3 linked regions of the Cricetulus griseus genome follow. The protein of the gene in region 1 interacts with the protein of each later gene in a pairwise test. Links are inferred from orthologs where the notes say so. Each region holds a gene or a part of one and is shown on either strand. Other genes may lie near its edges.

What was found.
Region 2: the proteins of Kpna3 (region 1) and Hnrnpc interact in binary tests that used the Homo sapiens proteins (3 or more experiments, as listed by UniProt). The link is inferred for Cricetulus griseus from reciprocal best matches to the Homo sapiens genes KPNA3 and HNRNPC.
Region 3: the proteins of Kpna3 (region 1) and Tssc4 interact in binary tests that used the Homo sapiens proteins (3 or more experiments, as listed by UniProt). The two-hybrid records come from large-scale screens. The link is inferred for Cricetulus griseus from reciprocal best matches to the Homo sapiens genes KPNA3 and TSSC4.

What each region holds. Positions count from the first base shown.
Region 1 is NW_023276807.1:216,375,428-216,379,075, forward strand, and holds part of Kpna3 (importin subunit alpha-4), read right to left. Parts: coding exon 3,549-3,648; intron 717-3,548; coding exon 622-716; intron 217-621; coding exon 118-216; 3' UTR 1-117. UniProt on the Homo sapiens protein: Functions in nuclear protein import as an adapter protein for nuclear receptor KPNB1. Binds specifically and directly to substrates containing either a simple or bipartite NLS motif.
Region 2 is NW_023276807.1:207,170,669-207,174,416, reverse strand, and holds the start of Hnrnpc (heterogeneous nuclear ribonucleoproteins C1/C2), read left to right. Parts: upstream 1-1,214; 5' UTR 1,215-1,370; intron 1,371-3,748. UniProt on the Homo sapiens protein: Binds pre-mRNA and nucleates the assembly of 40S hnRNP particles. Interacts with poly-U tracts in the 3'-UTR or 5'-UTR of mRNA and modulates the stability and the level of translation of bound mRNA molecules. Single HNRNPC tetramers bind 230-240 nucleotides.
Region 3 is NC_048596.1:58,316,412-58,320,159, reverse strand, and holds Tssc4 (protein TSSC4), read left to right. Parts: upstream 1-1,500; 5' UTR 1,501-1,645; exon of another isoform or gene 1,646-1,774; intron 1,775-1,927; 5' UTR 1,928-2,052; intron 2,053-2,141; 5' UTR 2,142-2,151; coding exon 2,152-3,105; 3' UTR 3,106-3,274; downstream 3,275-3,748. UniProt on the Homo sapiens protein: Protein associated with the U5 snRNP, during its maturation and its post-splicing recycling and which is required for spliceosomal tri-snRNP complex assembly in the nucleus.

The sequences.
Region 1 (3,648 bases):
GAAGCATCAAAACGAAGAGGCAAGAGAGCTGGGAGCCTTCTGTTGCTTGCTGTCTTATCGCTTGGTGGCCATCTGGTGGTGTTTGTATTGAATAAAAGGTGCTGCACTTAATAGACCTTAGAAATTAAATTCTTTTGTTTGAAGGTTGGCTGTTGGGTCAAAGTTGTAAGTACCTCCTTGTGTTGCTTCAGGAATGAGGCTAGGATCTTCATCAATCTATAAAAATAAAGGGGAAACTCCAAATGAATATTTTAACTGCCTAAAAACACCCAGATAAATGAGTGATAATTTTATTGAGAAATTAAACAAATACAATTCAATATGCATTTTTAAAAAGTGCCTGGCTTAAGTTCCTATATCTGCAGATATACTTCATCTATCTGAATGTCATTTCCAGAATTATTTCTTTCCAGAAAATAGATTAAAACTGTAACAAGAAATGCTTTTATAATTTTACCTTATAGTGAAATTTTGGATAAAGTATGTAAGAAAAGTGATTAATGGAGTATCTAACAGAAAACATTACAAATTTCACGCACACTAACAATAAGAGAAAAATTCTAAGTAAATGGCCATTATATCAATCTACACGCAGACATCTGTACTTTAGTATTTACTTACATCATCACCAGAGAAATATTGATCTATGATTTCAAATGCTAATTTATATATGTCTTCATTTTCATGTTGCTGCAAAACTTCAATTTTCTCCAAACCTGACAAAGAATATAAAAATAATTAAGGTAATCACGAATCTGCACAATCTAATTATAGAAAAACCCTATGAACCTCAGAATATGCCTTGTCTCCACTTAAAGATGACAGTCTATAGGCTAGAGAGATGGCTCAGCAGTTAAGAGGACTTGGGTTCAATTCCCATCAACCACATGGTGGTTCACAACCATCTATAGTGGAATCTGATGCCCTCTTCTGGAATAAATGTGTGCATGCTGATACAAATAAATAAATAAATCTTAAAAAAAAAAAAAGATGACAGTCTAAAGTAACACATAAAAACCAAACCACCATCCCATTATTTCCTTTTTCCTTAAAAACATTTGAGATTCCCTGATCTCTGGAGAAACAGAAAAAAACCACCAAAACCATCCAGTAGAGATGTAATAGAGTTTGTTTCTGGTCAAAGAGCAACAAGTTAATGCCAGTACAAGGTCTGAAAACCTCCCAAAAAGTTTCAATATAATCACACTATCTCATATAGTATCTTTTCCTCTTCCCCTGTTTTCTGAATGTAAGTTTTGAGAACTTAATTGATAGAAGCTTTACATCAAAAACACTGCATTTAAAAAAGTAAACAGGAGTAGTGACGGCGTACACCTTTAATCCCAGGACCAGGGAGACAGAGATAGCCAAGATCTTTGTGAGTTTGAGGCCAGCCTGGCTACAGAGTGAGTTCGAGAACAGCCAGAACTATATGAGAAATTCTGTCTCAAAACAAAACAAACGAATAAACAAAAGTGAAGGTTATGACCTACAGGTATAGGGAGCAGGAAAAGGAAGTTCCCGTAACACTCATGACTGATCTCCTTTTCAGGTTATGTAAGACAAGACTGTAGTCCAGTCTGGACTTGAACCTCAGATCCTCTGATTCTATCAAGTGCGACATATAGTCTTGCACACCTGTGCTCACCTGAGAATATCTTTTATATTTCCAATGTACCATGAACTTCATGTACCATATGTACAAGTTTATAAATTTAAAACCTTACTATTTATCCTGGAGGTATCTTTTTCAACATATTGAAATAGCAGACTTTTAAAACATAATATACAAATCAAAAAAAAATGGAGAAATGGGAATCAACACTAACAAATAAAAAATGCTTTATGAGATTATAGTATATATTGTGATTATTACTCCAATAGGGAAAAATACAGCTTAACATTAAAGAGAAAGAATTCTCTAAGTTATTCAAATTTTCTGTAAATTTGATTATAAAGCTAATTTTTATCTTAAAAATGGGACATCTTGCTAGGCATCCCAGCACTCGGGAGGCAGAGGCAGGCAGATCTCTGTGAGTTCGAGGCCAGCCTGGTCTTCAGAGCGAGTGCCAGGATAGGCTCCAAAGCTACACAGAGAAACCCTGTCTCGAAAAAAAACAAAACAAAACAAAACAAAACAAAAAAGCTCAGCGATTAAGATACATAATATGGCAAAAAACAAAAACAAAAATAGGACATCTTAACACAAGAATGAGCACAAATAGTACGATAAGCTCCATGTGAGTTTTGCTTATATAAATGCTATTTATATGATCTTGGGCAAAATTTCCATTAACCTTTTTGTTTTTACTGATCTGTGGTGCTACTGCATTTATGTTCTCTAAAGCATAACCTGGATAAACTATCCATATAGTCAACAAAAATGCAATCAAACAAATCACTAAACTTTTTAGTACATATGGTACCTTTTAAGAACAGAGTTTTTAAGTACAAGTTTCATCATGTCCTTACTAGAAATGACAATACTTAATGACTTCAGTCCTATTATCTCAACACACTTTTGTATTGAACCCAAAAGCCTCTCCAACTTACAGAATTTAAACAAGACACACAATTGAGCAACCACTTCTCAAAGAAGGGTCCACCCAGACACATGGTAATATGTACAACATAAAAAAATGTGTTGGCTTTGTCTAGAGTTGAGAAATGGATTAAACAAAGCTTTTATCTACTCTAGTAGTCCACTGGACTTTTTAACATGCTCCTGTACACTGTGCAGTACTTTGGTCCTCACTATTGATTTGTTGGGAAGGCTTTGAAAACCATTAAGAAATGGGGCCTACTGAAGAAGGTTCAATGCTGGGGGTCTGGTACTTAGAAAAATTAGCAAAACTTTTGCAGAACCATCTTTAGTTTCATTTTACAATAGTAAGCTATTACAAAACACTGAATCTGTCCCTGGGTCTCTCCTTTATTCTCTCCCATGTGTTCTGTCCTGTTGCCCCAGTCAGGAAGACTTCACTAGAGGCATGCATACCCATAAATTATACACAAACTGGGACAACCATTCTGTCTTACACTTTCACTTTCTAAAATTCTGACCTATATAAACCTTTTTATAAGCACTCAGCCTCAGATATTTTTGATATGGCAATGGAAAACAAATCAGTGTAATACTGAGTACTTTCTAAAATTCATCAATCTCCAGGAAAATTGACTCCATACTGGTCATATTTCTTTTTTAAAAAAATATTTTATTTATTTATTATGTATACAACATTCTGCTTCCATGTATATCTGCACACCAAAAGAGGGCACCAGATCTCATAAGGGGTGGTTGTGAGCCACCATGTGGTTGCTGGGAACTGAACTCAGGACCTCTGGAAGAGCAGTTGGTGATGCTCTTAACCTCTGAGCTATCTCTCCAGCCCCATGACCAGTATTTCTAAAGTACGAACTACTGTATTTTTTGTGAAAATCCTTTAGTAATGCTAATAAGGTAAGACCAGCAAAATCCTCTGAACACTTAATAACAACTGTCTAATAAACTAAGCTTAAAGGAACTAGTACTGTAGAACTCCACTTACCTCCACATTCTTCTATGATTTCTGCTATTGTGCTTGCTTCGTCCCCAGCCATTATCAGGATGTTCTTTAAACCATCCAGAACCACCTGAACCACCTGAGA
Region 2 (3,748 bases), about 9.2 Mb from region 1:
GTGACCTGTCATATTCCTTGGCTCCAGATTGCCAGAACGCCAGAATCCCTACCTGTCGGATCCCTCGTAATGCTTACACACACACATAGAATAAATAAAACGTTTAATTTTTTCTTTTATTATTATTATTATTATTTTGTTTTGTTTTTGAGACAGGGTTTTTCTACCTAGCTCCGATGATCTGAAACTCCCTCTGAAGTCCAGGTGGGTGTCAAACTCAGAGATCCACATGCCTCTGCCTCCTGAGTGGTGGGATTAAAGGCGTGCACCGTCATCACTACCTGGCCAAAAAAAAAAAAAAAAAAAAAGCCCCAAATCAACACTCCCAAAAATCAACATCCCCCTTCCCCAAATTTAAATCAGACTTTCCTAGATCTAGTGTATCTCCTTGGGGTAATATCTCCCTTTCTAAGGGGGCTGTATACATTTTGGTGTGCTCAAGGTTCCTCCAGAATAACCAGAAATTCACTGGCAGGCCAGGCCTGAGGGGATTGAGTGGCCGTCAGACTATTGCAGGAAATCGGAAATTGAGGTGGCCGGCCATTCGGTTTGCAGATTTTGCAACCGACTTGGAGGGGTCCAGGTAACAGGAGAGGACTAGGTTTGGAAGGAGCTGTCTAGCCTCGTGGGCTGAGAGGCCACCTCCTCCCGGCAGCTCACACAATGTGGAAATGAGAAGGATCTGAAATTGAAAAAAACTGCAGGTCTGTCTTATCTACACTCCAGGCGGTCTAGGGATTACTCTCTTCCCCACGCTCAGGCTTACTTTGGTTTTCCTTTTCCTAGGCCCGGGGCGAGGGCAGGCCCTTTGCACCCGCTACCAGACTCCACCCAGACTTTACCACCCCCGCGCCGCGGAAATGCAGTGATCAGGGCGGATCTAGGCAGTCCACTAAGCGCCGATAGGCCGACGCGGCGTCAGTCAGGCCCGCCGGTACCCGGATGAGAAGCTGTGCGCGATACAAAGGCGAACATTCCACCCAGTTTTCCGTCTGGTACAGTGGCCAATGACCATCCTTCATACCCTAAGTGACAGGAAGCTCCACCAATTACTAACGAGCTTCGGTGACGCAGGTGGAAATTCTCGCAACTAGACCAACCTACTCCCGATCGCGATTGGCTAGCACTGTGAGGAGCGGTAGCGCCATCTAATGAGGAGCGGGAGCGAGAAAAGGCTCAGCCAATAGGAACGCCCCCAGGAGCGGGGCGGGGCTGGACCTTCGCCTCGGCGGCAGAGGAGCTCGGGGGCCATTTTGTGGAGCGCCGGAGAGCGAACGGTCGTGTGCTGCCTGCCTGCAGTCGCTTCGGAGTCTCCGCACGGAGCCGCAGTAGGAGAGGCAGTGTCTTCTCTCTCTCTCTCCGAACTCTTGGTAAGCGGAGGGGCCGAGTGCAGGGGAGGCGCGGGTTCGTGGGCGCTGCGAGCGGGTGTGGGAGCGAACGGCCTGGCGGCAGGAACGGCGCCCGCGTTGGTTCCCGTGGCCCGGGGACCGGGTCTAAGTCGGGCGGCGCCAGGCCTCGGCTCTGGCGCAGGTTCAGCCTGGTGACCTCCAGGCCGCGGGCGGCGCGGAGGATACCCTGCCGGCGCGCTCGTGTCTAACGGCCACTTTGCCTGCCTTCGACCGCCAGGACTCGGAGAGGGGAGCGTGAAAAGGAAGAAATGCAAGCTTGTTACCCTAATTGAGGTTTAATGTCTTAACGATTCCGTTATTAAGTCTTCTAAGTTCAACGTCGGGCGGGGGTGGCGGAGCGTTACGCTGATGATGTACTGGAAGCTTCCAAATTCCGGGCGGGCCACATGGCATCCGAGCGGCGTGTTAACAATAGATCGAGTATTCATTACTTTTTCTCCCGTAGGAATAAATGGTAGAAGGCGGAGTGTTTTCTGTAAAAGGGAAGTGTCACGGGTTAATTAAAATTGCAATAAAATTGCAACTTACCTTTTAATCTGCAGATTACGAATTACTTGAAATATATGTTAGTGGGACTTTGCTTGAGGTAGGTACTGCTGTCTTGAGAGAGAAACGATAGGTAAATTGGTTGACAGTATTTACTAAATTAGAGCGACTAAGATATTTTTAGGTAGGTAAAGAATACTGGAATACTGTGTACGAAAAAGACAATCGAGTTTTTAGGGGAAGCTGATAGCGAAATTAAAGGTAACCGGAGCAAAACCAAAATAGTCTTTTCCGGATATTCCAATATCCTATCAGTTCTAAACTTGGTAATAAGGAGTTTCCAGCCAGGTGTGGTATTGCATGCCTGTAATTCTTGCATTCCAGAGGCCATGAGACAGGAGGAGGATCAGTATCCATTGCAAGCCAGCCCAGAACTACACAGTAAAATCTTGGTTTTTTTTTTTGTTTGTTTGTTTTTGGCTGTTTGTTTTTAAAACAGAGGAGAGCTCCAAAGCAGTTTTTAAAAAAGCAACCCTCTGGGCCGGGCGTTGGTGGCGCACGCCTTCAATCCCAGCACTCGGGAGGCAGAGGCAGGCGGATCTCTGAGTTCTAGGATAGGCTCCAAAGCTACACAGAGAAACCCTGTCTCGAACCCCCCCCCCAAACTATTAACTCCCAGCCATTTGTTACAGCTGTTGCTAATGTAGCCCAGTGGTAGTGCTTAGGATGCAAGGTGCCCTTAATTTAATCCCCAGCACTAATAGTGTAGGGTGTCAGTTTATCTGGGAGTTAATTTTTTGTTTTAATTTTTATTTTTTGGGGACCTATTTTCTCCCTTTAGCTTTTGAGCCTGTCCTGGAATTCCCTCTTTAGACCAGGCTGGTCTGGTAGAGCCGCCTGCCTCTGTATCCTCCTGATCCTGGGATCAAAGGCCTGCCCCGCCTCCGAGCCATTTGTTTGTTTTTTCAAGGTAGGGTTTCTTTGTATGACTTCTGGCTGTCCTGGAACTTGCTTTGTAGACCAAATCTGCCTGCCTCTGCCTCTTCAAGTGCTAGGATTAAATGTGACCATCACTGCCTGCCAAGCCTCATCATTTTAAGGTGTGCCTTAGAAGTAGAATTTAAGAGTAAGATTTTGCTCTGGTGAAGTGAGAAATGGGTAAGAGAAATAGCTAGGAAGGCATCCATCAAAAATAGTGTTGTAAATAAGTGTCGGAAATTAGTATGCAAGAAGACTACTGGCAGTAGTTGAGATTGGTTAAAAACACCTGCCATTAAATGTTAGACATACAGGCCAGGTATGGTGGGGCACAACTTCAGTCCAGCGGAACTCGCTGATAGCTTATGATTTTGAGGCCAGTCTGGTCTACAAAGAATTCTCAGGCCTGGTGAGACCTTGTTTCCTCTATTTTTAGTCCTTCAAAAGTGTTAGAAATGTGGATTTCTGAATGGGAGGCAGAGGCAGGTGGATCTCTGGTGTACAAAGCTACATAGAGAAACCTAAGTGTTTGTTCGTCTCATTATTTGCTAAAGCTTCATACACTCAACTCATCGGAAGATTTATGGTTTTGAAACTAGATTTACTGGAGAATTGGCTGATTAAAAAACAACGTTCAGGTGTAGTAAAACCACAGGTGTTTCAGTAAAGATTTTGAAAAACTACAGTGGGTATAGGCTCCTGGTTAAGTCTTTACAGTTCTCAAAAGACAAAAGCTGATTTTCTGTTTAAAGTATTCTAATTTGAACAGATTGCTGTGCTCTTTACTACCAGTTTCTAATTGAGTCATAATTGTTACCTAGATTTTGTTTTTTTTGGGGGGGGGTTCCTTGTGTAGCCCAGGCTGTCTTGGAACT
Region 3 (3,748 bases), on another chromosome or scaffold:
GCACCTGTTCTTTCTAACGTGTCACCTTCAACTGTAATTACATCTGAAACAGTCATTTAATAAAGGAGGAGAAAATCAGGCATGCTAACCGGACTGTCAGACCTCTTCCTGTTCCAGTGGTGTCAGAGACGGGTACCGCTCTGGACTTTGCCAGGCACAGGGTGAGCAGGTCCAAGAGAGGCTGTGGAATAAAATGGGTGGGAAGGATAGGGACCCTGGGAGCACTCCATCTGAGTACTCCCTCGTTTCTACCTCCCTGTACTGGGAGTTCAGGCTGACCTTATTCCAGCCTTGACCTCATTTCCACTCATCTGTTGGACATGCCAAGTCACACTGAGACGGGTAGGAGAGGTCACGCAGCAGGAAAATTCGACACAGAATGCTGGGGATAAGCTACAAAAAACTCCCACTTCATCCCACTTTTGAAAGACAATACAGTAAAAGTTAGACTACTGCCCCATCCCAAGTATCTAGGTGCTTAGAAATGTTCTAAAGAGCTGGGTGGCTCTGGCCTGTCTCAAGGGATAATAGTCAAGATGGCAGCCCACTCAGCTCAGCCCTATGAACTGAGGATTAGGCTAAGCAACCTCTTGGGACACCAGCAACTATCACCACTACTGCCTTTCCCTTTGACTCCTGTCTGCACCCCTCCCCCAGGCTACTGGCATATTTAATTGGCCTCTAGAGGAGAGAAAGCGTGGCTAAGATTTAGGTCTCAGCTCCTAGCAACCTCCCTGTAAGCTGATTTGTCAGTGAACCCCAAGTTTGTCCTAGGGCGTCCTAATCTCTACTATCGTCCGTCCGCCGCCCCCCTCCCGCCCCTTGCAACCTGTTCCCTGCTTGGGTTGGCTGCTGGTCTGAAGGACTTTATACTCTTATGTTGTGGGCCCCTGGCCAAGGCTGTTGAGAAAACTGCAGCATGGCTATCAGGGCTTCAAGAACATAGGGAAGGAAGTGAGCGTGCAGCAGCCCAGTGGATTCTCAGACTCTGGTTCCCAGAGATGAAAGAGGACAGCCCCGGGCCTAGAGGGGAGTTGTGTGTGGCCTTAAATAGTGGGGTCGGTGTCCAAGCACGGCTAGGCAGAGCCTAGAGGAGAGGCCTCGAATCTCTGCAGCCCCAAACAACTTATCCAACATCCAGAGCCCACCACGTCTCTAGATGCCAAGAGCCAACTAGGACTTAAGTCCCCGCCCCCTTTAGGAAGCCAACCGAGTACAAGATCAGATCAGCACCACTTCTGACCAGGAAACTTGTTGACGCCCGCACTGCGTGGTGACGCACTTCCTTCCAGTGACGAACCCTGCTCAGACGGCTTCCGACAGGCGGCGCTGGAGGCCTCAACCCTTTGCGATTAGCAGTTGGCCCTATGTACAATGGGAATCGAGGCTCTTGGCTCCGCCTCTTCCTCTTTCGTCATTTCCGGGTAGATTTCCGTGTCCGCTCCAGTCTTACGGGATGACGTATACGTAAAGGTTACACCTCCCGGCAGGCATTACGCATTGGCCCATTGCCTTCTGGGAGTTGTAGTTCCTTGGCCGCTAAAGTTGCAGCATTCAGACAGCCGGAGACTCGGTTTCCCAGAAAGCCGAGCGAGAGTAGGCGGGGGCCACGGCCCGTACCTCGAGAAACCGGCGGGACGCTACGGTAAAGGCAGCTGGCTGTTGTAGCGTGAAGGGACGGTGGAGCGGTGAGCGCTGGCCTCCTTAGGACCGTGCGACCAGGCCAGTCCCCTGCCAGCTCTCCCTCCGGAGCCGGGTGGTGCCTCCGGTGGCGGTGTGTACCCGGAGAGGCTGCGCTCTGTGAGAGCCGGTGATGAGACGAGCTGATGGTCGAGAGCCTCTGTCTCCAGCGTCTCCTAGCGCGCACCCTTTATATGTCCGCACTGTTCTGATCTCATGGTTTGACTCTCTGCTTAACCCTATCTAGACTGCAGCTCCACATCAGTGCGTGCGAGGACACACTATTCGCCACCCAGCTTCGCGAGGCCTCCGCCCGCCTGCGTGACCAGCCAGCGCCCGATTGCGAGCAGAGGCGCCTGGCACATAGTGGAGGTGAAAGTGGGGGAGCCTGGGAGAACGGGGGTGGGGGGGAGCTGCCCAAGTACACCCCTCACAGCAGAACCTGGGCTGCTTCGCTACAGGTCGGGTTCCATGGCGGAGGCGGAGACTGGCTTGGAGGCCGAGGAACCCACCGAAGATGACACCCTGCCTTCTGACACCGTCTCCCTCAGCGACTCGGACTCGGACCTCAGCTTACCTAGTGGTGCTGAGGTGCAAGTGTTGTCCCCGGAGAGGATTTCTGGGGAAGCCCAAGAAGACTCCGGCCCTGATGAGCCTCCCTCGCCCCCCACGGGCGTCCCCACCACCGCAGTTCAGCCGTTCCACCTCCGCGGCATGAGCTCCACCTTCTCCCAGCGCAGTCACAGCATCTTTGATTGTCTGGAGAGTGCAGTCCGGCAGGCACCGCCCTCTGCGCCCCAAACCAGTGTGACTGAAAATGGCAACTTCAAGCGACCTGTGGCTCCCCCAAGTCAGACTCCAGCAGGGAACCTGAGCAGGGTGCATGGGAGTACGGGCCCAACCAGGGTACCTCCTGTGCCCGATTATGTGTCACATCCTGAGCGTTGGACCAAGTACAGCCTGGAAGATGCGACTGAAGTCAGTGAGCAGAGCAATCGTGCTGCTGCCCTGGCCTTTCTGGGTTCTCGCAGCCTGGCATCCCCCACAGACTATGTACCTTCCTTCAACCAGGACCCCTCTAGCTGTGGGGAGGGGAGAGTGGTCTTTACCAAACCAATTCGAGGCAGTGAGACTAGGGCTGAAAGGAAGAGGGTCCTAAAGAAGGGGGATGTGTCAAATGCTGTGAGTGAGGCATCTGTGGAGCTGGCCCATCTGGCAGGGCCTGAGCTTGAGGAGTGGAGTGGCCACCAGGGACTGCAAGAGGCAGTGATACCTTCAGGAGCTGACCATCCTGGGTCCTCATCAGATCCCACAGGGATGGAGGCTGTTGGTTTCCATGGCAGCAAGAAGCGGAGCAGAGAACACTTCCGGAACAGGGACAGTAACCCGGAGGGGCCAGGGTCTGAGAGGGGACCCTCAGTTTGACTGCAGTGCTATCTCTCCACCTCCTCACCTGCCCAGTCCAGGTGGGAAGCTGTGGGCTATTTGTAGAAGGGGTGTCTGGGAAGCAACTCTGACTAGGACTGTGGGAATTGTGGGACCTTATGCCCCCGTTTCTTGGGGTGAAAAATAAAGGTTTGGGATATTTCTTAAATTTTGTGGATTTTTCTGCTCCCTATTCAAGATGTGTCCAAACAGTCCTTGGCAACTAACTTCAGGACTCCATCCTACACCTGGCTTATCTTGCTCTCCCCACTCCAGTGGGGACTGCTGTAAAGATTTGCCATGATCCCTTGCATTTGCTACCAGTGAACCTACCCAGAGGGACTGGGTTCATAACCATGTCCAGCCTTGTACCCCTGATGGTAATGGACGAACATAATCTGTCCCCCAGAAACCAGCACAGCCTCCACACTAGGCCTGTGCAGACCAGTTTTAGGAAGAGGGTAGTTTGAGCCAGCGAAGGAGTTTGGGCAGGTGTCCACCCAAACTAAAGATAGAGCTGGTGTCCTGGGTGTATGTCTCCAGGATTTGTGACCTCTGTGTAGGACACTGCTGATGCTAATAGGCTGATGCTAGGTCATTTAGCTGAAGCTTAGCCCAGGAGGAAGAGAAGGATGCAGGGAAG